Schizosaccharomyces pombe: one gene and its partner. Changing the gene in region 1 together with any one later gene gives a genetic interaction. Each region holds a gene or a part of one and is shown on either strand. Other genes may lie near its edges. The genes, in order: cul4 and mms1.

Evidence for each region.
Region 2: mutations in cul4 (region 1) and mms1 impair growth when combined (synthetic growth defect), as found in Schizosaccharomyces pombe (one study listed by BioGRID).

Annotation. Positions count from the first base shown.
Region 1 is NC_003424.3:3,444,954-3,461,756, forward strand, and holds cul4 (CLRC complex subunit, cullin 4), read left to right. Parts: upstream 1-7,991; 5' UTR 7,992-8,102; coding exon 8,103-10,307; 3' UTR 10,308-10,794; downstream 10,795-16,803. Other genes in the region: proteasome regulatory subunit Rpt5, read left to right, coding at 1-492; SPOM_SPAC3A11.11C (pyridoxal reductase), read left to right, coding at 1,555-2,559; dpe1 (dipeptidyl peptidase), read left to right, coding at 3,411-4,640; nde1 (NADH dehydrogenase), read left to right, coding at 12,320-13,975. UniProt on the Schizosaccharomyces pombe protein: Required, indirectly, for activation of ribonucleotide reductase through the degradation of the protein spd1, thereby supplying deoxyribonucleotides for DNA replication and repair. Also has a role as a scaffold for assembling ubiquitin ligases.
Region 2 is NC_003424.3:588,774-606,396, reverse strand, and holds mms1 (E3 ubiquitin ligase complex subunit Mms1), read left to right. Parts: upstream 1-8,870; 5' UTR 8,871-9,119; coding exon 9,120-11,497; exon of another isoform or gene 11,498-11,537; coding exon 11,538-11,626; exon of another isoform or gene 11,627-11,665; coding exon 11,666-12,420; 3' UTR 12,421-12,496; downstream 12,497-17,623. Other genes in the region: poly(A)-binding protein Nab3, read left to right, coding at 1-959, 1,042-1,382, 1,438-1,901; SPOM_SPAC3H8.08C (transcription factor), read left to right, coding at 2,646-4,337; prefoldin subunit Pfd3, read left to right, coding at 4,912-4,922, 4,972-5,070, 5,115-5,514; inositol phosphorylceramide synthase Aur1, read right to left, coding at 6,213-7,481; SPOM_SPAC3H8.04 (chromosome segregation protein), read right to left, coding at 12,638-13,654; img2 (mitochondrial 54S ribosomal protein mL49), read right to left, coding at 14,842-14,979, 15,151-15,330; csr102 (sec14 cytosolic factor family phosphatidylinositol transporter), read right to left, coding at 16,138-17,472.

The DNA of each region.
Region 1 (16,803 bases):
GAAAAAAGCCCTGCCATTATATTTATTGATGAATTAGATGCTATTGGTACCAAGCGTTTTGATTCTGAAAAAGCCGGTGATCGTGAAGTCCAACGTACTATGCTGGAGCTCCTCAATCAACTCGATGGTTTTAGTAGTGATGACCGTGTCAAGGTGATTGCTGCTACAAATCGTGTAGATACGTTGGATCCGGCTCTGTTACGTTCTGGTCGTCTGGACCGAAAACTCGAATTTCCTCTTCCCAATGAAGAAGCTCGTGTTGGTATTTTACGCATTCATTCACGTAAAATGGCCATTGACGACGATATTAACTGGGAGGAGTTGGCGAGAAGTACAGATGAATATAATGGTGCCATGTTGAAGAGCGTTTGCGTTGAAGCGGGTATGATTGCTCTTCGTCAAGGTGATACTAAAATTAATCATGAACATTTTATGGATGGTATATTGGAAGTACAAATGCGCAAATCTAAGACTCTGCAATACTTTGCATAAGCGTTACTTTCTTTCATTTCTACGAGGACGGTACCGTATATATCCCGATTATCTCATTCGTCTCATCCGTCTCATCTTTCTTCTGTCTTTTTGTAAATTGGTTTTTATGATCCCATGGGAGCTTGATATTATACGCTAGTAAATATTAAGGGAAAAAAGGACCTCCCAGTGGGACAGCAAGTCAATGTACATTTGTTTACGTTGGAAGGAATCAGACGACTGTACATTTGAAAAGAGCTTTGCTCGATGTAATGATTAGCGATGTAGCTATGAAAATGTTGGAACGAATATCAATCTATGTGTTATTTAAGCTTATAAGGTTATCAATGTGTTTCTGCCACGAAACTTGAATCAACATTACTGAATTAAATCGTTTGTTTGGCACAATATCCCTAGTCGTTTTGCCCATTCTCCTCATTCGTATTAAAAAACGAAATCTTTATGTTGCAAAGATTAGGAATAACAGCGATGACTCATGAACATCCAGTATGCATTTCCTTTTTCGTTTTGGAAATATTAATAATTGGAAACCAAGTAGCTTGATTCTTAACAATTAATTCATTCGAAGCCCATCATTAACTGTATTGAACTTCATAATAGCTTTTTTAAGTTTTTCTTTGTAAACAATTCAATGTCCTATATACTTATTCTACAACTGTATGAACGCTTGATCCCAGTATATGTATCCATTTGTCAGTGGAACGATATTCAAAAGGTACTTCATTTAATGTTCAGTAAAGCCCCATCCACCTCTGACAATCTTTATAATTTATATTTGATTTGTTAAGTTAGTCTTTCCAAATCTCGAGAGCTATATTGGGGTGTCAGTTTGACTTGTAATCGTCATCATCGGTAACCGGTTGTTTCCAAGAACAAACTAGCGCCATAAAAATCACCACCATTGAGCTGGTTCACATAGACATTTTCGTCTTGAGAAAATATTCACCGAACTCCTAATTTACTGTCAATTGGCTTTTGTTTCTTGAACTAAGGCTATTGTAGTCGTGTTTGTGATACATCCGTTGGAACGGAAGTTGGTATAGTTTGGCAGCATTGCGCACTATGCCGTATATTAACAACTTTTTGGTTGGACCAATTGGTCTAGGATTAAAAAGTCTTACATGGACTGAGAATCCTGTTCCTGATGAAGAAGCGTTTCGAATTATGAACTATGCACTAAGTCATGGATGCAGTTTTTGGGACGCAGGTGAATTTTATGGGCTTTCTGAACCATTAGCCAATTTGCAACTTCTTTCAAGGTACTTTCAAAAGTTTCCCGATAGTATAGATAAGGTGTTCTTGTCAGTCAAAGGTGCGTTTGATCCTGAAACTCACCGAGTTCACGGGACACGAGAATGTATTACCAAAAGCATCAAAACTGTCCGAGAGACTCTCAAAAAAGTAAAGACTATTGATCTTTACCAATGTGCTGCAATTGATCCTGACACACCTATTGAGGAGACGATGGCTTGTTTGAAGGAGTTTGTAGATTCTGGTGACATTCGATGTATCGGTCTTTGTGAACCCTCTGTTGAGGAAATCAAGCGTGCTCATTCTGTTGTGCGGATTGCTGCAATTGAGGTCCATTATTCAATGCTCTTTCGCGAGATTGAATATAATGGGGTAAAAAAACTATGCCATGACTTGTCCATTCCTCTTGTAGCTCATTCCCCGTTGGCTCATGGTTTGCTAACAGGTCGTGTAACTACAATGGCGGACATTGAAAATTTAAAGAAGCATCATCAATGTAATGAGCAGCCTCCCTCAAGCACGTTTAGTTCGACTCTTCCTTGTATACAAGCATTGAAGGAGCTAGCTTCAAAATATGACATGTCGTTAGCAGAATTGGCCTTGAGTTTTATTTTGTCAGCCGGAAGGGGTAGAATTCTTCCCATACCATCGGCGACTAGTTATGATCTCATTGAAGCAAGCTTGGGATCATTTTCCAAGGTTTTAGATACATACCAATTTGCTGAAGTTGTTAGCTGCCTAGAAAAGACTTTACCGCCTCCAGCGTCTCCTAATTCAGAACCTCAAGTGACAGGAGGCTGTTCTAGTATGTGTTGAAAGTTAAAACCATAAACAGCACATAGCCACTGCTGCTTTGCTCAGGTTTTGTTAGGTTTGTGAAGATATTAGTAAATTTTGCTTGTTTCATATGATGCAAAGAGCAACAAAAGTTTGTGAGATGATATTGAAAGAGAGATTTGTTCTTCTATACTTATAAAACGGGAATGTGCCCGGATGTGCTTCATTTAATGAGAAGAACTGAAGAGTAACTGTTGGTGGATACGCCGTTTTAACTACTGTCAACGATCCTTTCATTTTCTATTAGTGTCATAACTTGCAAACAAAAGCGTTTCTTTTTCTTTTAAACTTCAACATTTTCGTTCTCTTGCAAATTTCTTACTACATTTCAATTTAATTGGGATTGTTGACTCGCAACACTCATTCCAAATTTCGAAATTTCTCTTTCTATGTATGTCTTATTAAAAAATTTCCTTTTCTTATATCACATCTTGTTTTTCTGTATATAACGCTATACCGACTTTTGTTTAGAAATGATATATCCATTTTTACTCTATACTGAGGTTTTATTTTTTTAATAGCATAGTAAACATCGTTTTAATAAACAGATTAATTTTTTAAGATCTAGCTATGTAGTCTTGCTCTTAGCGAAGGGTTTGTATAACAACATCAGATAAGCTCATTTAAAGTGACATTAGCACTAGCAAATTAGACATTCAATCTCTGCCAAGTTTTGCTAATTATTAGTTTAACAATTGAATTTTTTGGTAATTGACGGTGAAATATTATATTAAACATCCTGCGCCTTCATCGAGACCCAGCATATATAACCGACGTGACATTTCCACACATCTTAACAATTGCCGCACAAGTAATCATTTTTGAACAAGATGGTTTCCGATAGCAAATTGGAGCTTCCATTACCTGTAAACCAACAAAAACCTCGTAGAAGACGAATTTTAAAGGTTCATCTTTTAATTGCGGCTTTGATTCTGAGTGCGGTTGGCTATTTAGGCAAAGGCAAATGGATTTGGACTCCTGAACGAAAGGCTCACTTTGTACTAACTCATTTTCCTTTAATTGATGGGCATAATGATCTTCCAATATATCTTCGTGAAAATTATGATAATCGCCTTCTAAATATTTCGCTTGAGCACCTTCCTGGACAAACTGACATTTTTCGTCTTCGTCAAGGACATGTAGGGGGTCAATTCTGGTCTGTATTTGTCGAATGTCCTAGCTTGGATTCCAATAGTTCTCTTTCGTGGAATCGCACAGGTGAATATGAAGCTGTTACACAGACTCTTCAACAAATCGATGTTGTTAAAAGGATGGCTCTATACTACCCTAAAACATTCTCTTTGACTGATCATAGCGGTAAGGTCAAATTCGACTTTTTACGCAATCACATTTCAAGTATGATGGGCATTGAAGGTCTTCACCAGATTGCAGGAAGCCCATCCATTTTACGCCAATTCTACGATCTTGGCGTTCGCTATGCTACTCTTGCGCACAATTGTGACAACGTATTCGCCGATGCTGCGGTTGACGGAAAGCGTACTAACAAAGGATTGTCTCCTGCGGGCCGCGATATTGTCCGTGAAATGAATCGTCTTGGTATGATTGTAGATCTTTCACACACCACACCTGAGACCATGCATCAAGCCTTAGATGTATCAGTTGCTCCCGCATTTTTCTCACATAGTTCCGCTAAAGGGGTTTATGATCATCCCAGAAATGTTCCTGACGATGTTCTGATTCGCGTCAAGGAAACTGATGGCGTTGTTATGGTGAATTTTTACCCTGCATTCATTAGTCCACACCCTGAAAATGCTACAATTGATACCGTCGTTGAGCATATAATGCATATTGCCAATGTAACTGGATCGTATCGTCATATTGGCTTGGGTGGTGATTTCGATGGAATTGATATGGTGCCCAAGGGACTCGAGGATGTTTCCAAGTATCCTGATCTTTTTGTTAAATTGGCTGAGCGTGGTCTCAGTATCACTGAATTAGCAGATATTGCAGGCCGTAATGTGCTTCGTGTTTGGAAGACCACTGAAGATCTCGGGCATTCAATTCATGAGCCACCTTTGGAGTGGGAAGACGACTTTTAAACTTAATCGTTTATTAATAAGTCTACCTCTACCTCTTTATTTTATTTTTGGAAAAATTTACTGTATTATTCCATTTTGCCGGTTATGAATTTCTTACGATTAACGACAAACCATGCCTATTGCTTACTCTTTTATGCCCCTTGATGGATCGATTATTTTACTATTAGTTAACTAGCTCTCTTAGTTAATGTAATAAATTTTTGTTTGCTTTGAGATTATTTTCCACAGTATAATTTTTACGCATGTGTCCAATAATATAAAAAAGAAAAAGGAGAGTTAGTTATCCGATATGTGTTCATTAATTGGCAAATGCGAGACATAGAAAAACTCGATAAAAGACTGATGAAATTTGATTTTAACAGCACCCATAGACCCTTCAATCATCAAATAAATAAAAGAAACCACTGCATTAGCAAACATATTTTTTTAATAAATAAAAAATAACACACTTTTGAAAATCAGTTATGAATAAGCATTAAACGATCCCCTTCGATATGAAGAATGTGACCTCCTACGGTTATTATTCCCAGGCACGGGTAAGTTCCAAAAATCGAATATTTGGCCTATGCTGAGCTTCATTATCTTCTTCAACCGGAGAACCCTCACTGCTAACTGCGGCAGAAGGAGCACGCGATGGTCGACGACTGCGCGATTCGGAAACATTGTCAGATAAGAGTCCATTTCTCGTATCACTACTGCTTTCATTGTTCTCGTTGTAAAATGGAACTATACCAGGCCTGGGTATGTTATCATCCTCACTTTCACTGTCCCCAATATTAGTAAGAACTTGTTCACGACGACGGCGTTCTACACTATTTTCACGCAAATGAGATTCCGAATTTTGCCTTGAGTATCTAGGCCTATGATTCTCAATAGAACTCTCAATATGTCCAAGAGTGGGTTCCCTTTGTCTTTCGTCGTCCGGCTCATGTAAATTACGTTGAAAAGTATCATAGGAACGTCGTAAGAAACTGCGAAACTTGCGACCAAAACTTTTTGCCTTCGGATCCCCTTGAGCGAGTTTTTCATCAATTGAAGGTCCATTTGCATCTCGAGAACTGGTATGCGAAATAATGTTTCCTTGAGAATCTTCAACGACCAAGTCTTCGCCAATAAGATATGTCTCGTCACCAGGATTCATTTCTTCTTCTCTATCTTCCTCATTCGAGCGGCGAGGTTGCCGAGATTCATAGTCTTCAGAAGGAAATTCTTCAGCGTCATAGTGGCCTCCGCGTGGTGATTCAGCACGTTCTTCCCGTAGATGTGCGGCTTCAGGAAGCGAGACAGTTGATATATCAGCATCCTCATCTTCTTGAATGTTTACAGGATGACGCCTTCTTATGGAAGAAGCAATAGAGTTGGCAGAGGAGCGCAACGCATCAACTCTTTTAATTGGTAAGCTTTGTCCTTGACGAACACGAGGTAAGTTAAAAGCAAAATGAGAGTCCCTTGTTCTCGTAAACGACAAAGCCAACGTATTAATCCTTTTACCAAGCATGAAAAATGCAATACTGCTTCCATGAACAATGATAGAACTTAGAACCAGGAAACAAACTACTGGCCACATTACTTGTATGCAATACCAGTTTGGAATTTCAGGGTTTTCGATAGCATCATTAGGCTCAGGTACAGTGCTATGTACTTCTAATTCGGCTCGTGCAACCAAACAAGTATACAGTGCACCTACACCAATAGGACCAAAATGACCAGCAAAGAGAGCTTCTCGCCAATTGATAATATCAGGAACAAATGATTTAAATAATAAAACGGCAGGAATTCTCCTTGCAATTAAAATACATATAGCCAATACAACGAGTCGCCATACACTCAAATCCATATGTGGCATGTGAAATTGAGGCCAGGGCATGATAGCACCCACGTATACAAAAAAGGAAAGATTGAGAAGAAGGTCGATAACGTTGGAAACATGAGATTCTTCTGTTTTTTTCGAAAACCATGAGTCCCAAGAGAAAGCAGCACCAGCACAAAAAGAAACTAACAAATCATCGACACCAATGATGGTACCAATACCACCACAAAATAGTGCTAAAACGAAGTAGAATACAAGAAAACTTTCACGATCCATTAATCCTCGACGTTCCGAAAATTTAATCATCTTACGGGCTATTACACCTATTATTGCACCTAGCACACAGCCAAAGGTGCATTCGTATAAAATAATGATACATACCCAATCGCGGCCAGCATGTCGGGCAGGTTTCTCAATAATTAAATAAATAGCTAAATACAGAAAAGGAATTGCCATGCCATCATTACATCCAGATTCGGCCAAAAGCATGTTCCTAAGATGACCTGGGACTCGACGTGCAAATTTACCTTTACCGACAATAGAAGAAGCCAACACTGGATCTGTCGCAGTAATACATGCCGCTATAGCTAATGACTCCAGAAAAGAGAGTCTGGGAATTAAAGCATACATGAAGCCAGTACTTACTAGCCATCCAAAAATCATAACAGGCAAAAGCATAACAAACATACTGCGCCAATGTCGAAGCATATATGCTCTTGGAAGTTCAGCGCCAGCTGCAAAAACTTCGACAACTAAAAGGACTCGAGCAAGTTCCTCGGTGATGTAGTCGGTATTACCCCAGCTGGTGGGAACAAACAGTTTTGCAACGTAAGGACCAAAAATGAGACCCGTAGCAGTTGCCATAGCTATATTAAGTTAGTATGCTTCACATATATGAAGAATTGAAGAGTAAAAATAATATGGTGGAATATGCACACTGAAATATCTAGAGATCGCTCTTTATTTAACGAACGTAAACCGAAAGAATAATCTGGAATTACTACCAGCTAAATCAAACAATTCAAGTATCGTTTCAACACGCAAATCAAACAATTGTGCTTTGCAACCACTAATAACTTACTTGCTTCGCCCAAAAAAAGCTTTTCCTTAATAATTAAAGAACATAACATAAATAATGAAGTAAATCCTCCTATAATAGCATATGCTAGATGTGGTTTGGAAATCTCGACTTGACTCCATGCCATTCTCTTTCCAAGTCAACCTGACCTTGTAATTTCAAACCTATATAAACAAAAAGACAAATAAAAAACTTTATAGAAACTATAGAGAAGCTAATAGTTTACTCAAGCACCCAATTGTTTCAACAACTGGCGTTCGTTGTGGATAGTGGAGGATAAACATGGAAAACAATAGTTAGCTAATTGCAATGAGTCGCAGCTTGAAAATCTCTAAAAAACTGAAGAATTTCTAAAGTGAAAAAAAAGGCTTATTTAGTGAGATGGACACAAAAAAATAGCTTGAAAGTGAAATAGGAACTTCGTACCTTGTCTATATGTGCTGCTCTAAACCGACTTTTCTGAACGTCACTACTTGAGCACAAAATTGGTTTTTGCAGGTGAAACTATAGTAGTGAAAGAGCTCAGGCTTTCCACACATCTATTTATTACTTTTTATTTCACATTAGCACACCTATGCCTCCAGAAGCAAAACGTATCGTGGTTAAAGGCTTTGACCCACGAAAGTCGAGGCAAAGACAAGAGACCTACTATGTGACGATGATAGATCGTTTGAACATGGCTTTGCAAGTAGTGATGGCCGGTTTAGGCTTAAAAACAGGTTACCAAGAGTTATATTCGGGAGTCGAAAATTTAACAAGAGCGGATCAAGCATCTCGGTGCTTTAACATCCTACAACATCATATGTCTTCAGGAATCCAGCTTTTAAAGGATTCTGCGGAGTCTTTTATACAGCTTGAAGGGACTGAAACAGACACTAATGCATGCACCGTAGTAGTAGGGTGTTGGAACAAATGGTTGGAAAGAGTCGAGATTGTTCAAAACATATTCTATTACATGGACAAAACATTTCTTTCTCACCATCCAGATTACCCGACAATCGAAGAGCTGTCTCTGTCACTTTTTCGTGAAAAGTTGATGGCAGTCAAAAACATACAAATTCCCTTTTTGAACTCTCTTCTCCAAAGCTTTGAAAATTTACATAGCTCTAAAAGCACTGATCACGCCTATTTACAGGATGCGATGTTAATGCTACATCGCACGGAAATGTATAGCTCTGTGTTTGTTCCCATGTACTTAGTTATGCTAAGCCGTTTTTATGATACGGAGTCTAGCCAAAAAATTCAAGAGCTGCCTTTGGAAGAGTACTTGGAATATGCGATGAGTTCGCTTGAGCGGGAGGATGCCTACGTTGAAAAGTTTGATATTGTGCGCGATAAAAAGTCCATTCGAGAGACTGTTCAAAGGTGTCTAATTACTTCACATCTTGACACACTCACAAAGGGTATAAGTCAGTTCATTGAAAAAAGGGATGCCCATTCTTGTAAACTACTGTATGCATTACTGCAATTCAATCATGAAACCGAATATTTAATTCAGCCCTGGTCGGATTGCTTAGTGGACGTTGGTTTCAAGCTCGTTAACGATGAATCAAAGGATGATACTTTGGTTCAAGAGCTGTTATCGTTCCACAAATTCTTACAAGTCGTGGTGGATGAAAGTTTCCTTCATGATGAAACCCTTTCGTATGCCATGCGAAAAGCCTTCGAGACGTTCATTAATGGGGCAAAGGGATCTCAAAGAGAAGCTCCAGCTAGGCTTATTGCAAAATACATTGATTATTTGCTACGAGTTGGCGAACAGGCTTCAGGGGGTAAGCCTCTGAAAGAAGTATTTTCGGAAATTTTGGATCTTTTCCGCTACATCGCTAGTAAAGATATCTTTGAGGCGTATTACAAGCTGGACATTGCAAAACGGCTTCTCCTTAATAAATCTGCAAGTGCGCAAAATGAATTAATGCTTCTGGATATGCTTAAGAAAACCTGCGGTAGTCAGTTTACTCACTCTTTGGAGGGTATGTTTCGAGACGTTAACATTTCAAAAGAATTTACTTCTTCTTTTCGTCACTCAAAGGCTGCTCATAACCTTCATAGAGATTTGTATGTTAACGTCTTGTCCCAAGCTTACTGGCCCTCTTATCCAGAATCACATATCCGGCTTCCAGATGATATGCAACAGGATTTGGATTGTTTTGAAAAATTTTACCTTTCAAAGCAGGTTGGGAAAAAAATCAGTTGGTACGCTTCGCTAGGACATTGCATCGTAAAAGCCCGATTTCCACTGGGCAATAAGGAACTAAGTATATCGCTTTTCCAAGCCTGTGTCTTACTTCAATTCAACAATTGTTTGGGTGGAGAAGGGATTTCGTATCAAGATTTGAAAAAATCTACAGAGCTCTCTGATATCGATTTGACTCGTACATTACAGTCCTTGAGTTGTGCTCGCATTCGGCCATTAGTGATGGTTCCCAAAAGCAAAAAACCCAGTCCAGACACCATGTTTTATGTTAATGAAAAGTTTACAGATAAGTTATATCGTGTAAAAATTAACCAAATTTATTTAAAGGAAGAGCGGCAAGAAAATTCTGATGTTCAAGAACAAGTAGTGAGAGATCGACAGTTTGAGTTGCAAGCCAGTATCGTTCGAGTAATGAAACAAAAGGAAAAAATGAAGCATGACGATTTAGTTCAATACGTTATAAACAATGTTAAGGATCGGGGAATACCCTTGGTGTCTGATGTGAAAACTGCCATTGAAAAACTACTAGAGAAAGAGTATCTAGAACGCGAGGATAATGATATTTATACATATGTCACCTAATAGAGTATGCATTTGTTTTTTAATTGATTTAATTTAATTTTTCTGGTTATATGTTTATTCTTTTTCCATCCTTTTTGTTATTTGCTGGTGAATCTCCAGTGGATTTTTTTTCTCTATTCTCATATGTCGTTCATACACACACCTCTTTACCTGTCCGTGTCAAGTAATGCTATTGAAATCTGGAAACCAATTCAAGGAAGTCTGCACTGCTCTCCAATCAGTTTGGAAAAGGAACAATTCCAAAGTTCATTCTAAAATTGTACCTTGCATTTTTGCCTTCTACGAAAGTGTTCGCGCTAAGTACCGCATTTTCCAATGTAAGGATTAACATGGATGGAATGTGGTGCTGCTTATCACACTTATAGAACACCTTTATTTACAAAATCTAAAGTAAAAATTTAATAAATCTAATTAATTTTGTAAAGCCCAAGGTATTCTATTTTGGTTTTCCTGCCCATAAACACCTCTTATATTATTCATTATTTACATCTCTAAGTGACAGTGATGTGTGTGTTACTTGATGTAGATGTAGCTGAAACACGTGTTTGTTTGGATGTATTCAGAACCAACATCAAAACACTCCTATGTAAGCAATAAATTGAATAAGTTGAAGTATTTGGCGTAGGAAATTGGGACATTTAGCGTTATTGATTCTCTAAGCTTCTTGATCAGTTCTAGGTGAAAGCAAATAAACGGTATCTTCTGTTTTGTCCGTCACGAATTCCCTCATAAGAATGGAGTGACATAGTTAAAACGAGAAGGAATTTACCATTGATTCTAGTTTGCTTGATCTTCTTTGATTATATAACCTAGCTTCTCACCTACACATCTACCCCAGCATGCTTCTAACAGACTAAACACAAATCAAAAGCGATGCGCGCGCGTCCTGTCTTCATTAACGTTGTCTAAAGTGTATTACTGTATTATTAGATAACGCGGTTGGTATTTTTTGCTGTCAGATTTTGCGAGCTTGGTGTTAGATCACGTTATACGTCTCTTTATAATGACATGGCTCCTCTAGATGCAATGAGGGAATTTTCGGTTACGCCGCTGCGCATGCATAGAGTTTGTGAAAAAGTTGCACCCCACAATCCCCTGTGACCATGACTAAAGGTAGAACCTTTTTTGAGGTGAAGCAACTGTATATGAGTTTTTGAAACTATCGGTTTTGTAGGTGTTTTTGAGCGTCTCTATTTATTTACATTGCTAATCGAAGTCAAGAAACAACAATGTCCGGTATGTTGTAGCGGACGCGGCTGGAATCGCTGAATGGTCGCTCCCTCTTTCACAGAGGCGGGCCATGAATCGCTGTGCAGATACATGTCGTCAGCGTTACGGGAGTCATCATTAAAAGTCCGCAAACGGATCCGCCCGTACAATTTATCAAAATAGTCTCGCTCGTGTATTAAATTGTCGTTAAAATACCCTGTCCGACTTTGACAACTACCATTACACCTACCGCTCATTTTTTACCATTTGGCTGTACTGATTGATTACCTACAAGGATATCATATCAGCCTTTGGAAAATACGTTTTATTAAATCGACGCTTATCTGCGCAATCGTCGAGTGTATAAAAGGAGCACACTTACATAGCTGAGTACGCCGTAAGTGTTGTACTTGGTTTATTATATTTTTTTTTCTTTTTCTTTGTAGTTTGCTTCTCTTCGGAGTCACTTTAACCACCCCCTCCCAACTCAACTTAATTATTCAGTCTTTGCGGCCTCTGTTGATCCTATCCATTTCTTCAACTGACCGAATATTATTTTACCCCTGATATATTTTCTTTGTTGTTAAAATAAAGACCCATTTCTTCATCTTTTAAAAATCTCCCCTCTTAAGGCTTTTCAAGCAAACAGTTGATATCCACAATTTTTTTAACTTTCCTTGATTGTGTTTGTGGATAACTTATTACCCCCCTCTCTCTCCCCTCTTCTTTGTGTATTTTTATCACATAATAAGTTAGCATCTTTTTTTGTTTCTCTCGAAGTTTTCTAGTAGTTGCTTGTTAGTATGCTTTTTTCTCGGTCTATTCTCCGAGGAATGCCAAAGGCTGGCATTCCAAAATCTCCCTTAGCTTTATCGGCTTCTCGCAATCTTCGCCTTGCAAACAGCGTGCGCTTTGCTTCCGATGCTGCTTCTTCTCCCAAGAGCACCACAAGTAAGTGGAAGATCCTGAAACGTACTACATTAGGTCTTTTCGCTACGGCTGTTGTTCTTTATGGTGCCAATGTCTACCGTTTCCGTCATCCTGATCCTCATCAACCTTTGCCCGATCCTTCCAAAAAGACTTTGGTCGTCCTTGGTGCTGGTTGGGGTGCCACTTCTATTCTTCGTACTATTGATACTTCTCTCTTTAACGTTATCGTTGTTTCCCCTAGAAACTATTTCTTGTTCACTTCTCTTTTGCCTTCTACTGCCACTGGTTCCGTTCATACTCGAAGCATTGTACAGCCCATTCGTTATATGCTCCGTCATAAGTCCTGCTATGTTAAATTTTACGAGGCTGAATGTACAGACGTCGATGCCGACAAAAAGGTCATCCATATCAAGAAAACCACCACTGATGGAGTCGATTTAGAGCAGGAAATCAAGTATGATTATCTTGTTTGCTCTCACGGTGCTGAAACACAAACCTTCAACATTCCCGGTATCGCCGAGTATGGCTGTTTCTTGAAGGAAATTTGGGATGCCCAAAAGATTCGCGCTCGTATCCTTCATTGCCTCGAACAAGCACAGTTTAAGGATCTTCCTGCTGAAACTCGTCGCAGATATGTACATACTGTCGTAGTTGGCGGTGGTCCTACTGGTATGGAATTTGCCGGTGAAATGGCTGATTTCATTGAAGATGATCTGAAATCCTGGTATCCTGAACTTGCTGATGACTTTGCCGTTACTCTTGTCGAAGCTTTACCTTCTGTTTTGCCCATGTTTAGCGCCAAGTTACGTGATTATACCCAAAGCTTATTTGACAGCAGCCATATTAAGATCAGAACTAATACTGCCCTAAAAAAGGTCACTGCTGAAAATATCCATGTTGAAGTTAAAAACCCTGATGGAAGTAAGCAAGAAGAGGTTATCCCTTACGGATTATTGGTCTGGGCTGGTGGTAACCGTGCCCGCCCTCTTACCAAAAAGCTCATGGAGGGTAGTGAAGAGCAAAATAACAGACGTGGTTTAGTAGTCGATGAATACTTAAAATTGAAGGGTTACAAGGACATTTTCGCTCTAGGTGATTGCACTCACACCGCTTATGCTCCCACTGCTCAAGTGGCTTCACAGCAAGGTGCCTACCTCGGTCAACTTTTTAACAAACTTGGATCGTTGAACTTTGAGAAGCCTAGCGAAGATAGACACATTGCCCTCGGTGATGAAATGGATTCCAGCACACTTATCTCTTTAGCAAATGAGAAGCATGCCTCTACCAAGGTCTTCCTTCCCTTCAAATACTCTCACCAAGGTTCTCTCGCCTATGTCGGTCATGAGAAAGCTATTGCCGATATTGAAGTTCCCTGGTTTGGAAAACAACTCCATGCAAGCGGTGCTCTTGCCTTCTACTTCTGGCGTTCGGTTTACCTTTCTGAATTATACTCCTTGCGTAACCGTACCAATGTTACACTAGATTGGATTAGAGTTAAGTTATTTGGACGTGATATTTCTTCCCTTTAAATTGGATTTGATGAGACATTTTTGTGATTCGCCTGTTTGATTAATGCATGATATTTGTTGTCTTGCTTTATTCATTGGGTTTACCGAAAAATTTGGTTTTCCTTACATACCGATTAATTGATTGTTATTCGTTCGTAAACATTCAAGTTTAAGAGTATATTTATAGTTGTTTTGTAGTAGATTCTGGCACGTGTACATAATTTAAGCATCGTGCAATATTACCTTTAAATTAAATGTTCTCTACATACGTATTATCTAAATATGTTCTAGATAAACATAACGCAATTAGCAAACAATTTTATAATCAAGTTTCAAGCCGAGAAAAATCACTTTCCAATGTATGCCATATTTTTAGACTCTCCTCTTCGAGTTTAACATGCTGTTTGCAATATTCAACATAAGGATTTCCCAGACTAAATACATAGTCTTGCAAATAGGAAAGTTCCTGTTCGAGTTCATGTGCTATTTGGTACCTTTGATTTAAATTTTTCAAGTAAAGCTCTTTCTTCTAAATATTCGTTAAAACAAATTCCAAAGTGAAAAGTATATTGATTCATGCATACACTTTTAAGACTATTTTCAGCTCTCTTCTTAGAACTTCGGTTCAAAAATGTTCGATTTCTTCCACTTTCGTCGCTATTTGCTGTTTCACGAAGTAAATTCTCATCATTCGATATTGTATGCCGTACTTTCGTTAAATCGGTAGAAAATACTTCCGATATTCTTTCAATTAAAAGCTAAGGTATTAGAAAAAAAATAATGATTATACTACTTACTCGCAGTGATATTAGAATTTTAATTTCCTTTGATAGGCCAAGTAAAAATGTATGTTTGACAGCGTCGTTTTGTTGATGCAGGAGAGAATCAATGTTATAAAAGTGACCACTTGCCATTGACATAATTTTGCTTTCATTTTGAGCAAACGTAGAAGTAAACACTTGATGGTACAATCCACTATCAAGTAAGCAACTAAGAAAAGGATTAGCAAAACGTGACCAACTTGAATACTTACTTGAAAGAATTTTGCAGTCTCAGAAAATCTTCATGAAAATGCTGTAACGTAAAAATCATTTTCTCAAAGATCCTGAAGATGTTGAGCTGGTTATTTATCGCCGTAGTAGTAGACATATTCAATTTTAAAAGCCTTTCTTTAACCGTTTCTGAGGCATCGGGAACTTGACTTTGAGGTACCACTAGGAATTGTTCAATTTCTTGGTCAATTCTTTTCTGATTTTCCCTTCTCCAATTTTTGAAGACCTAAATTCATGAGAGCAATTAGTTAAATCTATAAGGAATAAAACTTACATTTGGCTCTGTAAAAAATACTCGGACAACCTCATCATTGGAGAAAATAGGATGATGAGATAAGTCATTTACAAAGTCGGACAATCCTGGCGGCGGTGTTCTAAAAAACTGTTTTGAGTTGAAGCATTTCGCTTCGCAACTGACATATATTAGCATTGTTGGGATTGAAAAGGATGATTAACTATGCATACAGTGAAATTTCTTTAGCGCTAAAAGAATTAGTAAGTTAAAAGCCGTAAATTGAAAAAAAAAAAAAAACTAAAAAAACTCTTACGTATTAATGGTACTCTTCTAAAAGGATATTTTTTCATCAAGTAAGAATGTAGCCTTTCGAACTAGTTAGAAGAAAGAAAGAGAAAAGGAAAATAACTGTATGGAAAAGATATCCAAACAATTCGGAGAGCTTACCAAAAGAAATCACTGTATCGACGAAGAACTTCACGAGTGTTAGAAGAATCAGATATAATATAATTATTATGGCGATAGAAAAAGTAACCACTAGGCTCAAGGTCAATGTCAACATTCATTTCCAAACTAGCGGGAAATGAAGTTGAACTGGAAGCCAATCTAAACGAACTATGTCTACTGTTTGACAGTAACGGCTGAGTGGAAGGGGAAAGGCGATTAGGAATCTTCGAAAAGGGCTTTCTAGGGGTAATAGCATTATCATCGACAGAAGAATCAACGGAAAATTTTGGAGGTTGTTGCGAATGTAAGTTACCTGCTTCTAAAGTCGAAGGTGCAATGCTGCTGACAGTTGAAGAAGGATAGGAAAAGAATCCTTTCGGCTGCTTTTGAATATCAGGAAACGAACGGATGATGCTTTGCTGAGCGTGAGGGAGGGATTTATTGGAGACGTCGTCATCCTCTTGTTCTAAAATTTTTGATTCATTAATGGAAGGGACAATGTTGGATGAAAGATTCAAGGCGGTTGTTGAAGCAGGAGGAGAATTATTAGGAAAAAGAGGGGTTTCATTATCAGAACTACGATTGAAAAGTTCCGGATTAAAACGCTGCAAAATGGGCAGGACTAAGGAGGAGGAAGTAAGCAAAAAGACAAAAAAAAGCAAAGATAAAAAAAAGCCTTACCATTTCTTTGCTTGAAAATCTGTTCCAATGTGCTAGGAACACCTAATTGATAACAGGCAACCAAGGCAAGCAAAACGAAAAACTGAATTTGCCGTAAGGGTTGATTGCTTGATGATTCAATCAAGGTAAAGAACTCTTTCATTACATCTTGAGGAACATGAAATATATCAGAATAACTTTCTTCTTCTGGAAATAAGAGAACATTGTTTGCTTGAAACACGTCCCAATAATTTCGATATTGCAAAGGAATGGATGAATTACCTATAGACAAAAAAAAGAAAAAGAAAAAGGTTAGCATCATTACAGTAAGTAAGTAAAAAAGCAAGAAAGATGAAAAAAAAAAAAATCAAGCTAAAGAAACAAATCAATGATAGAATGCATCGATCCGTAAAATTAACTATTAATTGAGAAGGAAAAAACAGAAGAACAAAACT
Region 2 (17,623 bases), 2.9 Mb from region 1:
ACTACTCAACCAAGTGTTTCGGGGGGAAACGGATCTACCTCTCAAAGTCCTCCTTCACTCGACGTTGAGCAAAATAAGCCTTTTTCGATATCCAATGAACCAGTGGAACAAGAAACTGAAAACTCTTCTACTAAAGATTTACAAGTATACGATTTTCAGACCGCTTCAGAGCATTTACCTGAACAATCCTTACAAAACACCACTTATTATGATCCGTCAAAAACTTATAGCTCGGTGAATTTTGAAGAAATTGAATATGGAAAGTCTCATGAGAAATTAGATTTACCTTATAGAACTACTGATTTTATTCCCTATTCTAAAGACTTGTCAACTAGTCCTGAGGCTCACAGGACTAGTATTTATTCGTATAGTGCTAATTTGCCCAATTATTATAATGAGCATAATGAATTACATGAACATCATAATCCCCAGACACCCAGTTCCCCGGAATCTGCGTATAGTCCTGAAAATTTGCAACTTAATCATGAAGCACAAAATGTTGAATATTTGGGTAACAATGCTGCCGAGAAATCGTTGCAAATGAACTTAGAGGATGAACAAAGATTTCAACAATTTTTGAAAGATGAAGAAAGTATAATGTCAAACTGGTATCCAGGGCAATTTCCTTCAGCTTCTCGCTTATTTTTGGGTCATCTAAATACAAAGAGCTTATCTAAACGAAATTTGTGGAAAGTTTTTAAAATTTATGGGCCTTTAGCACAGATAGTTTTAAAAGCAAATTATGGTTTCGTTCAGTTTTTTACAAACGAAGATTGTGCTAGGGCTTTAAATGCGGAACAAGGCAATTTTGTTCGGGGTCAAAAGCTGCATTTGGAAATTTCTAAAATTCAGAAGAAATATCAAAATCAAATAGAAAACATGAAGAAAGGATCACATGTTACCAAAAGTAATCAATATTCTGAAATGATTGGAAACCTTCCTTATCCCACTAGTAGCAGGTAAGGAATTATCGTTGCTGCAATTAATTTCGCAAAACATCGCAATTTTGTTTGTTTTTTTAGCCTTGCTAACGTAATACAGAAAACGCACGCGATCTCCTTTAATGTCGAAGGGTAAATCCTACGATAGAAAGGGATCTATATCCATGTCTAAAAACTTCAGCCCTGATTGTGAAATACTAGTCACGGAAGACTGTCCAAAGGAATTTGTATGGGGAGTGGAAAAAGTCTTTCAGGAGCGTCGATTGAATATACATACCACTTGTTTGTACCGTGACTCAAACTTACAAGTCATTATTAAAAGCTGTATTATTAACAGCGTTAAATCCATTATCTTGATAAACGCCGGTTTGGCTCACCTAGGGAAGGTGTCGGTTCAAGTGTTTAAAGACGGATCTAGCGATTCAGAAGTCCGTTGTGATGGTACGTTGAATAAAGATATATGTGTTTTGACAGAACTCTAACTTTGTCTTTATAGAATATGCTGCTGTGGACGTGATGGTTGCTGCAAGTATTGTTCACCACGCAAAGACTTCTCTCATGCACTCAGCTGCTTCTAGTACGCCATCGTATAATGGTGAGCGTATTGTGCCTGACGTGCCATCTCCCTGTATATCAACGAATCCTAATCTACCAGCTTTAGTAGGTTCTTTAGATTCTGTTAATCTTCACCATTTATTAGGATTCATTCAAAATACCTATAGCACTACTTCATACATTCCAACTAGAGTTAGTTTTAATCCTAATGATACCGGAGGATCATTTGGAACAATTACATCTCAGTCCCAATTTGTTGTGAATGAGATGCCTAAAAATTATGCTCGTGATAATTACGAAGCATTGCATTCTCAAGAAAGCCGCCAAAGGTCTTCAGTTGCTGGAAACAAGCAACTTCAAAAGATATTAGAGCAGCTCGCAGAGCTCAAGCAACCTGATTTTTGATATCTGACCTTAGAAAAGGTTTATATATATTATTTGTTAACAAGTGTTTTAGGTAGCACTTTGTTAATATGGTTTTGCGATATATATGTCCTTGTCTTCAATATTTATTTCACTTTTTTCTCAGTTATTCTTGAAGCATTTATATGTAAAAACCAACAGACAAGTAATTTTTCTTGCTGCACGGACTATCAACTGTTCATTTGTATTTTTTTCGATGCATACAAAAAATGGTAATAAATCGTTAGGAAGAAAGTTTCGATACTTGATTTTTACTGATTAAGAGATTTAGCGAGTAAAAATTAATAACAACGACATATTTTTATTATTAATTTGATGATCATGAATGTCAAATGTCCTTTTAATATTTTACTACTTAGGTAAACGTGCAGTTTAATTGATCTGATAACAGCGATGCACTGCTACGCAACGCCGACTAGTACGTTGTAAGCTTAGTAAGTAAGTAAGTAGTAACTTTTATATTATAATCTTTTCATTACTAGTAATACAAGTGCCTCCCAATCTGAAGTTGCAATTAAGGAACTTTATTTAAAGTATATTATCAGGTTAATTTTTTTAATTAGAAATAACAACCGCTGGTCGGTCTGAATATCAAGGTGCTTTTAAAGGATTCTCTAAAATAGGAAGTTTTGAAGGATCCTCGTTTTATTTTGTGCCTCCACTTCAAATACGGAGGCAACTACAATTGCTTGAAAGGAAATTATCAAGTTATCAATACTTCTAATAATGTCTTCCTCTCCTCCAGCTTTAAAGAAATTTCGAAAACGCAGCCCAAAATCATGTTTAATTTGTAGGCGCCGCAAGGTCAAATGCGACCGTCAGCAGCCTTGCTCTCGATGTAAAGAAAGGAACGAGGTTTGCACTTACGCAGATGATACCATTGATAAAATGAACGTCGGACCACATCCTAGTCATAGCGAAAATGCTTCTGATTCTGAAACCACACTGGAAGTTTCTCCCGATATTAATCCGAAAAAAAATGAGAAATTTGATTTTTATGGATGGAGATCACTCTTTGAGTTGATTAAATATAGAAAGGATAGCGACATGTGCTCATCTCGACCTTCGTTTTCAATTCAGGCTTACAGTAGCTATAAAGATAATGTGGTTGTTGAGAGTTTGGCGAACCTTTTACCGCCATTTTGCATATCACAGAAAATTGTTAATTTATTTTTTAAAACACTAAATGTTGTCTGTCCTATTTATGATCAAGAGACAGTAGAAAAAAGCTTAAACAACATTGAATCACCAGAATCTTTTTCGTACGAAGATGCCTTCACTTTATTACCAATTATTGCTGCAACTATCCAGCTGAGCGATTTGCCTGATGTTATTCTCAATTTTTATAATTCGGCGGGGATTACTCCATTGGAATCCAGCCGTCTTATAAATTTAAAACTTAACGAGATATCCGAGCAGGAATATAAACATTTATGCTTGCCTGATAAAGAAATAATTCAGATGCTGCTTTTGCGAGCGTATGCAACAAAATTTCGCACAAGAATAAGAGGAGTGAATACTGACTTATGTAGAAGCATTCACGTATCAACCTTAGTAACTCCCCTCTTCCAAGTTACGGAAAAAATAGGAAAAAATACGTCAGATTTGTGGTTTGCTCTCTGTGAAATTGATGGTTTGGAATGTGTATTAAAGTACCGTCCGCCATTCATTCAACACGACACTTATGGTCGTCTCAAGCCGCTTCGTTGTTTTTTTAATGACGATATTAGCTACAATTTTCATCTACTTCTTGGAAGGTTACTTGATTGTGGTGTTTCAATCTATAAATCTGTTCATTCACTCACCGTTAGTAAATTCATTGATAAACTGGAGAGTTATGAATCACAGCTTTCGCTTATTTTGGTAGATATAGAAGCAAAGTTTTATGACCCTTCTAATGAAGATATTCAATTTCGATACATATTTTTGAAAATGGTGTTCTGGACTGCACGTGTGAATTTGTATCAATGTTTTATTACCCTGGATTCAGGGATTTTAGAAGATGAAGAAACTATTATTGGTAATTTGGGTGAAAGTTGTATTCAGTGCGTGAGGCTACTCATATCTCAAATCACTATATTAGAAAAACGAGGCTGGCTTTTGGTAGCGTTGTTGGAGATTATCCACGCCCTCATGTTGGCTGCGTTTTGCCGTGATAAAGGCTTTGAGGTGCCTTCTGACTTAGGTGACATAACATTATATGTACAAGAAAGAATGGTTGATATCGTAACATTTGATGATGGCATGGCTGTCCGATTTGGATATGTTTTAAGATTCATCAACAGTATGTTACACCCAAATGAACCGCCTATGCAAGATGCAGAACCTGAAACCACGGAGGATCCCTCTAAATTATTCGCTGACATTTTTGATTTTACTTCAAATTACTTTATACCGTCCGCCCTTCTTGATCAGTGACCTAAACGAGCACTTTGTAATTTTTTTGTTTGTATGATTGATTAAATTTCGATTAATGTTCCAAAGTGGTTCTAATGTCAAATTTATCTGCTCTTTTAATGACTCTCGTTTTTTAATGTAACTATTTTTGGTTCAATATAGACCATTTAGGAATTAACTTTCTTACTATCCTTCTATAAAGTTGTCTTTCAAATACAATTTTTTCAACAAAACTGCCTTTTCCAAACAGAATATGTTTAACTAAAATATGTGATTTCAAGTAATTAAAAAACGTTTAAAAAGTTTAGTGATATAAAACTCTCGCTAGTACTTTCAAATGAAAATGCATTACGCTGCGCAATGGTTCTATACAGGTTATGGTTGGTAAATTGGATGAATAGATTTTGCAACAATTATCAATTACATGTGTATAACCAAAATATTCTGCCTATTTAGACTGTGTAGTTCAGACTTGGTTAGATTTGGTAATTAGGGAATAATACGCATTTCCAAATTTGTAACATTACTATACCTATTACCTTTGACACTCAGTTACCTGTTCAAAACAACCGCCCCTTTTTCTGTTGCATAGAGAATGAGTTCTTCGTATGTACTGAAGTATAATACTTTTTAAAAAAATAACTAATATGAATAGAAATCCACGGGGAATTCCACCCGCTCAATTTTTTGAGTTCAAAGAGTTATCTATGGAGGAAGCTCAAGGTCATCTCGAAAAGTTCCAAGAAGCAATTGCGTAAGGATATATATGTTATTTCATATTAATATAATGTAATTTAGAAAGTACAAATTCATGGAGACTAGTGTGGTCAGGAGAGTTGCTAGTTTGGATGACAAAATTCCTGACATTCGAAAAACGTTACAGAGTGTTCAGTTCTTGAAAGAGCGACAAGGTGACTCTTTTACTGTTACATATGAACTAAATGACACATTAAATGCAAAAGCAGAAGTAGAAGCTAAAGACAATGTCTACCTTTGGTTAGGTGCAAATGTTATGCTTGAGTATACGGTTGAAGAGGCAGAAGCATTGTTAACGCAGAAGCTGAACTCAGCGGAAGAAACATTGAAAGCATGTAAAGAAGATTTGGAATTTTTGAGAGCTCAAGTCACTACAATGGAAGTGAATACAGCTCGCGTGTATAACTATACAGTTTTGCTTAGGAAAAAAACAAAAATGTAGTTAGTCAAAGCTGCTTAATTTCTTTATAAATGTTTCCAAAATATATTATCATTTTAACACATTTGCTTATCCTTAATGTCTCTTTAGTGTGTGTAACAAATGATAGAAAAAACTATATTATTATAACAATATTCTTATTTTAGAAACGTATAACCAACATTTGTATAAAAACGCTTTACAGAATAAAAAAGGATTACATTAATGCTCCGTTCTGGATTTTCGTGCAAACAAGCAATAAACTAAATGAATAAAACAAGCCTTCTCACACACATTTCAAACCAAATTTAAAATTATGTCAAACGATTTAAATCACAACAAATAAGGAAAATGAAATTCTAAATGTGTTCCTTTCACAACAGTTGACAGTGTAAGAAGCTGGATAAAAGAGTTCTTTATTAACGGAAATGATAAAAAAACGACAAATACCTATACATCACACTGGAAGATACCCGGCCTAATCGCTGTTAAGAGTTTCGAAAAGGAAGTGGAGACCAAAAGCGGTATTAATACCAAAATAGCTTCCTTCAAAATTAGTGATACAAATTAATTTTACAAATTGTAAAGAATGACTCAATGGATGTCAGATTAACAGTTAAAAAACACAATGAACAACATCATTCCAATACCACTATGAATCAAACCGATTCTAGTCAATGTATCATGTAGCTTTTGGAAATATATTCTTAAAGCACGTTGATTTAAGGAAGATGACTTGCATCAAAGATGGAGGAAGTGGTACTGGCAGGACGATCAATCAAATCAGCAGCAGGACTAGGTAACGGCTCAGGTGATGATGAACCCACGGACCATTCATGATCGGTGTTAGCAAGTTCCATATTGTTAAGACCACTCATGAAGGCTACTGCATTAGGGTTTTGAGTAAAAGAATCCCTTCCAAGTAAGTATGGGCTGCCGGTACGAGCCAAGGAGTTGCTGGTTTTTTCGGAAAGACCATGACCGTGGATAACAAACTCGTATTCCCAACGAAGGATTTTACCAGTTTGCAACTGTGGGAGGCGTAGCTTTTGAGCAAAAACGAAGCATATAATAGCTAAACACATACCGCCGACCAAATCTACAAAGTAGTGGTGGGTAAGGTACATAGTACACCAGCAAAGCCATAGAACATATCCATAAAAGCAGAAGCGGTATCGAGGAAACACATGCGAAAGGAAAAGTGCTTCCAGCATGGCCCATCCAGCGTGAAGAGATGGAAAGGCACCAAAAACAACCGGAGAGTTAGAAAAACCATCAGTGTAAATGCTAGTGCCGAAGAGAGCATCAATACGGGCCAATCCACCAGGAGAGCCACGTACTGCATACGTGGCAGGTTCTAAACCATACATATTTTCATACCAAGGAGGAGAACAGGGGAAAGCCATTTGGATAAGAACACCAAATAAATTCATATAACCAAAAGTTCGAGCCCAAACTGGAAGAGTTCCAGGAGGTGCAAAGATGAAAAGAATAAATGAAATGATAAAAGGAGCCGAATAATGCATGACTCCATATGGAACCCAGGCCAAAATATCAAGGATGCTATGCGTGGTTTTCGAGAGAAGACTAGAAAGATTAGAGCCATAAAGAATATTTTCAAGTGTGGGTAAAACACGAACCCATATGGGTGGACGCCAGCGTTCTGGAATAAACCTACAAGAGTAAAATAAAATTGCCCAGGTGATGATAACAATGGCAGGAAAAAAAATTTGGCGTGTTAAAGGAACGGTCAACGCAATGGCCAAAAGACAGGCAATGCCAAATTTCCCCCAGAATCCAGGAGATTCAATGACAATACAAGCAAAAATCAAATTACCTGCTAGAAACACATATTGCAAATGTGTCCATGACCATTTCGTATTGCGTAGCAAACGAAATGTAGGCATAGGGTTTAAGCTTGTTTCCAACTTGTATTGGGATGCTCGGTTACACGCAGCAAGGCGCTTTTTTAAGGTCGAAAGAGCAGACATTGCTTCAAAGAATTATCAGAGTAAAAAAGGGAAGCGTACGAAAAAAATTTCGTAAGGAATTAACCGGAAAACTAAAGGAAAAAAAAGGAATTTTTATGAAGGAAAGAAAGTAGCTATTAAATGCAAGTGTCAAGCACTTAAAAGTAGCGATGTAAAATATTTAAAAAAAGATGGACCGATTAACCAATGTTCAGCTCACAGTTGCCAGCAATCAGGGCTATTTTTTTATTTTTTTTATAAAATTGCTAATTATATATAATATAATTAGTTTATTAACTTGCTTTTCCTCAAAAAACCAATTCGAGAAAGGAACTTTTGCAGAGGCAAAAAAGCTTCTCCGAAAGAGATACTAGTTTAAAAACCTTTGGTTGCAAATACAAACCAAAATACTCCAATTTAACTATACAATTGGAGTTAGTCGATTTCAATTGCCCCGTATAAATGGTTCTTTAGAGGTTGGTAGTGGCGAGCTGAGAATGGTACGGTCGGCTAGTATTTGTTTAGGTTTGGCAAGTGGTGTTACTGTAGCGCAACACAAGATAGCCTAGCGAAAACAACGTTATTTCGAAACTCTAGGTAATTGGAAGATATTCCTTCTCAGGTAACACTATTCGGCAACGGCAGCCAATAAAATATTTGAAAGCTAAGACTCGTTATTAAACAATAAGACACTAAGCTCCATATATAATTACCGTATCCAAGTTTACTGCACGGAAATGAGAAAGCGGAAAGTAAATCAGAAACAATTTTAGCGAAATAAAATATGAATTTCGATATAATAAGATAAAAACATTGCGGTTGAGGGTAGTATCAGATGAAGCAAATATATTATTGTAACTAAATACCTTAAGCGCATCTAGGACACGTACTTAAGCATGGGTCTATATATTCAATAACTTAGCAATGTTACGAAATATTTAGGAGGAATAGTTTTATGCACTCTTTAATACTTCAAATTTTACTTCCGTCTATATCTGTTGAATTAAGCATTCAAAATGACAATTGACAACATTAAAACAATGTAAATCTATTTGGAAGTACTAATTTTTGTTTTCGATTTCTTAATTAGGAAAACAAAAAGTGCCTACTTGCATTTTCACAGCCTTTTTCTTTGGATTCTGAATGTATACATTAGCACCCTGTTGATAATTCTTTCACGTAGGTAAAAAAGACATCATTAAGCTATTGATTTTAAATGGCCGTAGAAAATTCAAACTGTCGTAGGTCAGACAACACTTCTCTAAAGATGAAACCAAATCGTATATTTGTTAACTAGAAATCAAAATCATATATCGCATATTAATTGTTATCTTAATTTTTGTGTTCCTTAGGTTCTCGAAATTCCAACGATGGATATTCTTACATACATTCAACACAACCCAACATATTAACTCGAACAAGCCATGGTTGGTTGTCAATAATCCTTTCACATTTGGAGGAACTCGTAAGGATCTATCTTCTAAATAAGGGCGTTATATATATTTAAACCTGTACATATCTATTTTCATTGATTTTAATGTTTTTTCCGTATTTGCTAATTTCTTTGATGCATACGATTAACTAATAGCTTTTTCTATTCTATCAAAATTTGACTCTAATCAAATTAAATTGGTTCCAAGCGTTTAACTTTGTGAATTCATGGCAGAAATTATTCATCATTCAAACGTATTCACCTGGGCTTTTCATGTTTCCGAATATGATGGTGCTCCTCTCCTTTTACTTGGATCTTTTTCCTCTGTAGCTTCTGTGAGTTTAAAGCGATCTGGTGATTTACTACTTTTTGAAAGATTCACGTTGCCTGCAAGAACGAGGTCTGTTGCTTTGTTATCAAGCCATTTCCTTCAGTCAGAATCAGGTAGACATTCAATAGCGAATATTTTAATTGCTACTGAAAACGGAAAATGCTACTTGTTGCAGCTCGTCAAAACACCAGAAAAAGCGTTTCCGACGATTCGTATTAGAGATGAATTCGTTCTTGATACTCGAATGTACAACCATGAACAATTAGGAAAATCAATTGATTTATGCCCAAATGCTTCCTTGTGGGCTACTAATTCTTTTGCTGGTGATATTGTATTTTTCTTTTCACATCATCCTTCCTTAAGCAAGCAAGTCTTCGCTCAACTTTCTATCGATGGAATAATACTTCATACCATATTTGTACCTCCAAAAAGATCCTCTTCGTCTTGTGTTACGTATGTTTGTCTTTTTCTAGATTCAAATTCGAATCCTAGAATCAATGTTTATAGGTGGTCTAAGACGGAAACCTTTTCTGATGCTAGTTCTTACATAACCTTCTCAATACCGGTTCCATCCGAATTTTCTCTTGCTTCCCATATTATCCCTTGCTCCAATATTCCTGATCATTTTTTAGTATTATTGGAGACAAAGATTTGTCTGCTTTCTGTCCCACAGATAGAATGTGGGGATCTAAAATTTTTACAGACCGATCTTCCATGCAGCGGTTCACATAATTATCCATTGTCTATTGCAAATGATAACGAAACTCCGAATTGTTGCTATTTAACCTACGAAAATGGAGATTTGTATCGCATTCGTTACTCTATTTTGTCTATTGATATTAATTTAATTGGAAAGACTGGATCTTCTTTAGGAAATTTGATACTACCTTGTTATCCATACATTGTTTTTTGTGGTGACTGTTCTGATACATTAGTGTATGATGTTTCGGTATCGCCTATGTCCTTTTTTGGTAGCTTAATTGCTTGCGCTCCAATGTGGGATTTTGTGTATTCCTCATCAAGGCATAACACTTTGTTGGATGAAGACATCAATTGTAATACAGTTTATGCTACTGCTGGCATTGGTAAATCTGGGTGTTTGGTCACAATGCGTTACGGGTGCTCATCCACTACTTTGCTTGAAGCAATATTAACTGAGGGAGCTGTTTTATCAGGAATTATAAATTCTAACCACAACTCTGAATTTTACGCTTGGCTAACTTATCCTTGGCAAACACAAATTTTAAGGCTTCATCTCGATGGGGTCGTCGAAGATGTTACCGAAAGTCTTTTTTTGGATGATATAAAAGCTTTATATGTTATAAATTACCAAAATACGTTTATCATTATTACGGGAAAATCCATTTATGCTGTTACTCCTAGTTGTACAAAGTATAACCTTCTTGAGGTTTCAGGAGATGAAGAATTTGTTTTGGCTGCTTATAACGAATTAATTTTCATCGTTAAAAAAGATTTAATGAATTTCAAAAGTCAATTGCTTACACTAAAACTAAATACTCTTTCTAATGGTACACTTGAACTTCAGTCGCTTCCGGATTCCTTCGATCTACACGATGTCCCTACTTGTATTACTTCCTTTTCTTTGGAAAGAAAGCTACTGGTGATACTGGTTCATCCTTCACCTTATTTTGAATGCGTTTTCTATGATGAAACCTCACACTCTAGTGTCTATAAAGTCCCCTTAACAGGTTTTCAATTTGGATACCTTCCTCATAGCATATCGTATTTGAGAAAATCAAACCGCGCTGTTTATGTATTGATTTCATCCAACTCTACTCTTTTAACCGTCTATGTAACTCTAACGTTAGAGGGAGTACCGGATTTTAAAGTTTACTCTAATCCTATTTCAACAGACTTACCACTCACGTTACAGTCACCCTCCGATGAGTTTTCAACAATTTATGCATGGTCTGACTATTTGTATATAGTGGGTATCGATATGGAAACTGAACAACCTACGCTGAACCAGATACTTGAAGTAAATGACAGTTTTACTTGTGTTTCTGGTATTTACGATATTCCAAATAAGTTCCAGAACAGTGAATCAAGAATCATAGTGTATTATTCGAATAATACTTTGTACCTATCGGAACTTTGGCTTCCACAGCGAACCTTTTCTTCAAAACTAAATCTTGCAGCAACTCCCAAGAGATTACTTGTTGATAAATATACGAACACTTTAATCATTGGATGTTGTCACGTTTTAGTAAATGAAATTACAACCTCAGGTCTTGCTTTTTACGACTTGACTAAGTGAGTTACGTGTTTCTAGTGCCTACTAACAATTACACAGCTCGCGACTTTTCCCTGTCAATTGGCCTTCAATGGATATTAAAGGTAAACCAATATTCAAACCGGAGGAATTATTATATTCTATGTCTTGTAAGTTAGCTTTACTTTAATCACCTAACGATTATTTAGTTTGGATTGTAGCCGACGATCAAAAAAGAAAATATAGGTACCTTTGTATAGGAACAGGGGTACGAAAAAACGGATTAACTACAGGTCGTTTGTTAATTCTTACCATGAATAAAGATCATGACAGCAATGCTATAGAACTTCGCAATGTCATCACAATTAATATGAAAGACCCTATTTATTCCGTTTGTTCGATCGGAAAACATGGATTGTGTTATGCAACAGGACGAAAGATTGGTGTAAAGATGTTGGACTTAGACTCAAAGAAGTTTTGCAACAGTGATTGTGAGTTACCTGTTCGGTCTCCCATTGTATCGATGTCAACGTATAAGGACTATGTGTACACTTCTAGTTTAAGAGATTCTGTTGCCGTGTTCCAGTATGATAGTGAAAACAACTCCCTTAATTTAGTTTGCAGCGACACATCATCGAGACTAGGCATTGATTGCTTTTACATTTCACAAAAAAAATTATTGTTTTCTTGTGACAAAGACCGGTTATTAACTTGTTTCAAAGTTGAGGGTGAAGTTTGCACGTCTACCAGAGAACAAATGCTCCAGCCAATTCTTACTACAGTGTCTCAAACAAAAACAAATGCCTTAACTAACCATTTAAAGTATTCAGTTATTCGGGTGGATAAAGATAATCATAATATTGTTTGGGGATTGATGGGTTGTACTTTAGATGGGAATATCTTCAAGATCTTAATGCCTAACGATCCGACTTCGTCGGATACAATTATCTATTCTGATACTTAATGTTATCACACATTAGAAATTCCAATTTACAACAATAAATTTATCAGAGCAATACTAATGAACAATTTTTGGATGGTTTTAAATGACGTAGATAAGCAAAGAGTATAATATTAAATTAATTTAATATAAACTTGGAACGCATGAATGTTAATTTTCATTAAAAAAGAGTTATATAAGTCAATAAATCTTTACATGTCAGCAGTAAAAAGTTGGCTAGCTATCGACAACTTTCTGACAGCAGTGTTTCATTCACAATCTTCGTGTTCCCATATAACCCGCCTAAAGATTGCTGGACAAAAATAATTCTTTGAGAGTCATAAAGGTAATGGTGTCCTGCAGAAGTGCAAATAATTTGTAACTGTAATCCAAACTTTAAATGACTTAAAATTTTCCCACTTTTATCGTCTAGTTGCTGAAGATAATGTTTCTGGCGAATCCAGGTTTTAGAGCAATCAACCATACTTGAAACATTATAAGGCACCAAAAAAACTTTAATGACTAAACCGTTAGTTTGTCGAAGTATTAGTTGTAATTGCCCAACTGATGGAATTCTATATCCGAATGGATAGCCTTTATTCATGACTTTGTCGCTTTTTTGACTTCTCAGTCGAAATCGACCGATATAAGGAAATTGCACATTATCAACATTTCCAACGAGTGAGTAAGCCACAAAATTTATTTTTAAATGTGGCGGGAAAACAAGTGAAGGCTTGCATCGGCAAAACGAAATAACCCCAATTTCTATGGAAAACTCAAAAGGTACTGATGAACAGTAAGGCATGTGACCACTAAACAAACTCTCCTCGTATGATCCTATAAAACCACTCCTTTGAAAGCAGTTCTTCAATGAATAGGTATTTATACCTTTGGCGTTAAGAGAATGTTCAGCAGAAGCATCAATTGGTTGTTGTTGAGTTATATAATCACCAGACAATAATTTATTACAACGACATGAACATCTCGTGAACAGATGAGGCCCATTTGAAGGTTTAACAGATTTCTCATTGTTAAAAATTTCGAATTTCAATGGAGAATTACAGAGAAAGTGGTTGTTCGCCTTACTATTACCAGGAAAGTTTGAAAAAAAGTCTTTCATCTGACTTATCGATTTCAAATTCATCCATTCTTGTTCGATTGGAAAACTCCTGCTAGTAGAGAACAAGTTTCGAATATTTTTGTATAGCAATTCATTATTTTCAAGAGACGTTGATGTCGCACAATAACAAGCTGGCATTAATAAAAAAGAAAAAGAAAAGGAATAAAAGGCTTTCGATAATCGAATACAAATGAATGCGGTTTGTTCGCATTCAAGGAAAGTAAGGTATTAATGTCAAGAAAAAACAAAACAAAAAATTCAACACGGAAATAAAGTGCCTTATATCGTGTCAATGCTTAACCACTTTTTGATAAACGAAAAAAAAATAACAAAAAAAACAGAAAATCATTAAATCATGGATAACCGTAAGTATTTTTCGAGAAAGCCTCAGTTCACTAAAGAAAATATAATTCCCAACATTAAGAGTTATTCAGCTTATAATCACCAATAAAAAAGGGATAAACTACAAGGAATTTTCTTCTCGTGAATAATTAATTCATAAGCAAATTGTAAATCAACGTCTTCAGAACAAAGCAAAAATTTTAAAAGCTAAAAATGTTTGTCAAAATATTCCTATCACAGACAAATCCAAGTTCAATTCAAAAATAATGAAAAAGTCGTTGAGATTTCAGGATTATAAGTATGTGTGAAGGGAAAGGTAAAGAACAGTCCATGGGCGTATGACGCAGATATATAGATTATGTTTGAAGGTATGTTTTCGATATAGCATTTAATATTTGTCAATTTACAAACTATACAATATTGAGAAAAGAATTTTTAATTTAGTTATATACCCTAATAGCCTTAAACGTATTCTGTCTATAACTACAGTCAAAAAATAAAAACACCGGAGTTTCGATATATATATTATAATTTCCTTTAAGCGTTTATAAATTCAACAAAACAAACGAATAGGTAGCAAAAAAAAGATTGTATTTAGCATTTGGACGCCTCACATTAAGCAGATGTTTGAATTTCTTTTTACGCAAGTACCTCTTGAATGTTTCTACTGAAGCTCGAATAACTATTTATTTAAAGGTAGTTAAGGAAAACCATCACAAAAGATGCATTTTTTCCATTGTCAAGTTTGAAAACCACGTATGATGAGAAGAAATGAATCGAGATTAATTATTTGCAACAGCTGTGTTTTATTTGACATTATCACCGCTGTAACAAGGAGATGAAGTAAAAGTAATATGCTAAAAAGCCAAATTGATATATATGCTCGAGAGTTTTATGTTGATAAAAAGCAACTTTATCATTCCTTTGAAAGAAGGATACGTACATACATAGTAACAATCTAAAAAAGGAAAAATTCTAGGAACTTAAAAACCTTGGTCTTGTAACCATTCACGAACTGTGACTATGTGATTTCCCTTTAGGACAACTTGATTTGTTAACTTGTTTACATAAACATCTTTCGGTGACATTTTAAGTGTGGAAATGAGCCTGAGCCGCAAAGCCTATTGATAAAATATTGTTAGAAAAAAAAAAGAGAACGAATAAAAGAAGTTAAAATAAACTTGGGTTGGCCGTTAAAGCAAAAAGTTGATAGAACAATTTCCGCAGCATAGTGACTTTACTTGTACTTTCTTTAGCCAAGAGATTACTGCTGACGGAATATGTATACTTACATTAGAATCACCATGGATTTTACGAATTAAAGTCAGAATTTTCGTTCCTCGTTGTTTGTAGTCTAGATAGACTGGGAGATTTTTTGAAGGTGTACGTGAAACATGAAACCGAAGTGATTCGGATGCAATTGTTGAGTTGAACCTCAAATTTGATAGCACTGGCTTTAAGGATGATCGCATTTGGTTCAACAAAACTTTCTACGAGTTGCAGGAATTTATGGTGGATGTGTAAAAGAAGTCGTCGTGCATTCGCGAATAAAGAGGATTTCTATCATAACCTCCAAAAATTTGTAAGTTTTAAACAACTGTCAAACAGGAGCCTAAGATTAAGTGATTCACTAAGAACAATTAAAATAAAATAAAACGCTCTTGTTTTAAATAAATTTAATCGGTGCTTGAACCTCACGCGTGTTTAAACTCGAAAGTATTTTTACGGCACGGAATATACTTCAGCGAAGGTGCATACTCATTAAATTAATACTATATTTTGGAGTAGGCATTTAGGTGTTCAGCTTGTTGTTTTTTTTAATTTCGAACCGCTTTCCTACAATAAAATAAAAAATAATAATAAATAGCAAGAAATCTAAGTTAATTTGCAAATAAAACTGATCATTGATTCTAATAAAGACAAAATGGATGGATAAGTATTGCGACCAACAACTTCAATGAAAAGCCATAAGACCTAAAAAAAGTTATCCCTTTCTAGATGATTTTAAGTGCATTAAAGAGAGTGCTAAAAAATTAAAGCGATAAGGAAATGGTAAAACGAAAAGGGGTGTAAAAATCAACGTAGGAAAGAGATTTCATATGTAACTAATTGATATAAAAGATCTTGAAAGTTATGCATTAATAGATGATACAATCATATTTTGAGCCAGCATCTTATTTAGAATAACACGGGAAAGTACAATTAGTCAGTATACGGGAGTATAGGCAAGGGGAAGGATTACAATGTAAAATAGCAGGAATATTGAAAGTTACGACCGACTAAGTTGCCGAGCTAGTAACTTCTACCATTGATTCTTTGACATCTCCATTTGTAGGTTGAGAAAGAAGCAAAGTATGGGAAGTTTGAGGAGCAATTAGGCCCATGCGGTCGTAAACTGAGCGTGCGCGGATGTATTTATCCAAGTTCCAGTATGCATCAATAAGTTGTGAAGCTAACTTACGACGTTTTTGTTTCACTTCTGCCATGTCACCATTGTTCAAAATCCAATCCATTGTAACTTCCTCGTACTGTTTAGCAATTGCATCCTTTTTTGCTCTAAGACTCTTACGAGCTTCAACATTCTTCAGAGCTTCTGCTTCGTTTTGACAGGGTTCTGGATATGTATATCTCCATGGATTAGGCCCACCGAATTCTTTTAAAATATTGTCAGGATTTATATATTGTTGCAAATCACGATAATTACGAGTGAATTTAACCTTTGAGACAACCACTGGATCAAGCCAAGATTTGATGATGGACCAAACGCCTTGGAAAAGCCAAGGCGCTTTGTGTACAATACATTCACCCAGACATTCGGGATAGTGTGCTTCAAAACACTTGATCATGAATTTCAATGGCCCATAGTCCATATTGGACATACTGAAATCAGTCATATCAAAAACAACAGTAGCAGTTTCAATAGGAGGTTTGAGAATTAAACGAGCAGTTTCCATGACCCAAACTGTGAGTCGCTCAACCGATTCGGGTGAGACATCACCAACTTTATGAAGACGTGCGCGAATATAACAAACTGGACGATTGTGTTTATCTTCACCGAATATAAAACACTTTCCGATTCTTAGTTGACGCACAAAATCATCATCTTTATCAAGGTGGTCAGCGTTACATACAATTTCACCAACATTCATCTCTCTACTTCTCCAGTGAACGGTTTTCATGAACATTTCCAACGCAGCCTCAACGTTCCATTTTCGAGCACGAAGGAAACGAAGTAGAAGGCCATCAGGATCATCACAATTAACAGCATCCCAAAAGCAAACTCTAAGCCCTTCCGGGTCCCATTCACTTGCAATTTTTTCAACTCTTTCCAAATGCACATTTTTGGTTTTATCATTAAAACTGCGAGTGTCCGAGCCATGAGATGAAGACGTTAGTTCAAGTCGTGTACGGGATTTCGCATATGAGACGCTGCTTAAACGATGTGATGAGGAACTACTTGAATCATCAGATAAGTGTGTCTTCACTGTGTACCAAGATTCAGTTCTTTCGAGTAAAGTAATGCCGAAGAGCTTAAACAAATAACTCCACATAGTCTTCAACTTCTCTTCTTCAAGTTCTGTGAGATTCCACGGTCTACCGGCTCCTTCAGGCATATTTAATAAGTAAATTGCGCGCAAACAAATATAATCTAGAAAAAGTCCAAGGAAAAAATATATCAGATGAAATCAATATTAATAAAATTGAACTCAATTGAGAAGGAAATTACGAGAATAAGCCTAAAGAATGGAGGTTAATCTCGAAGAT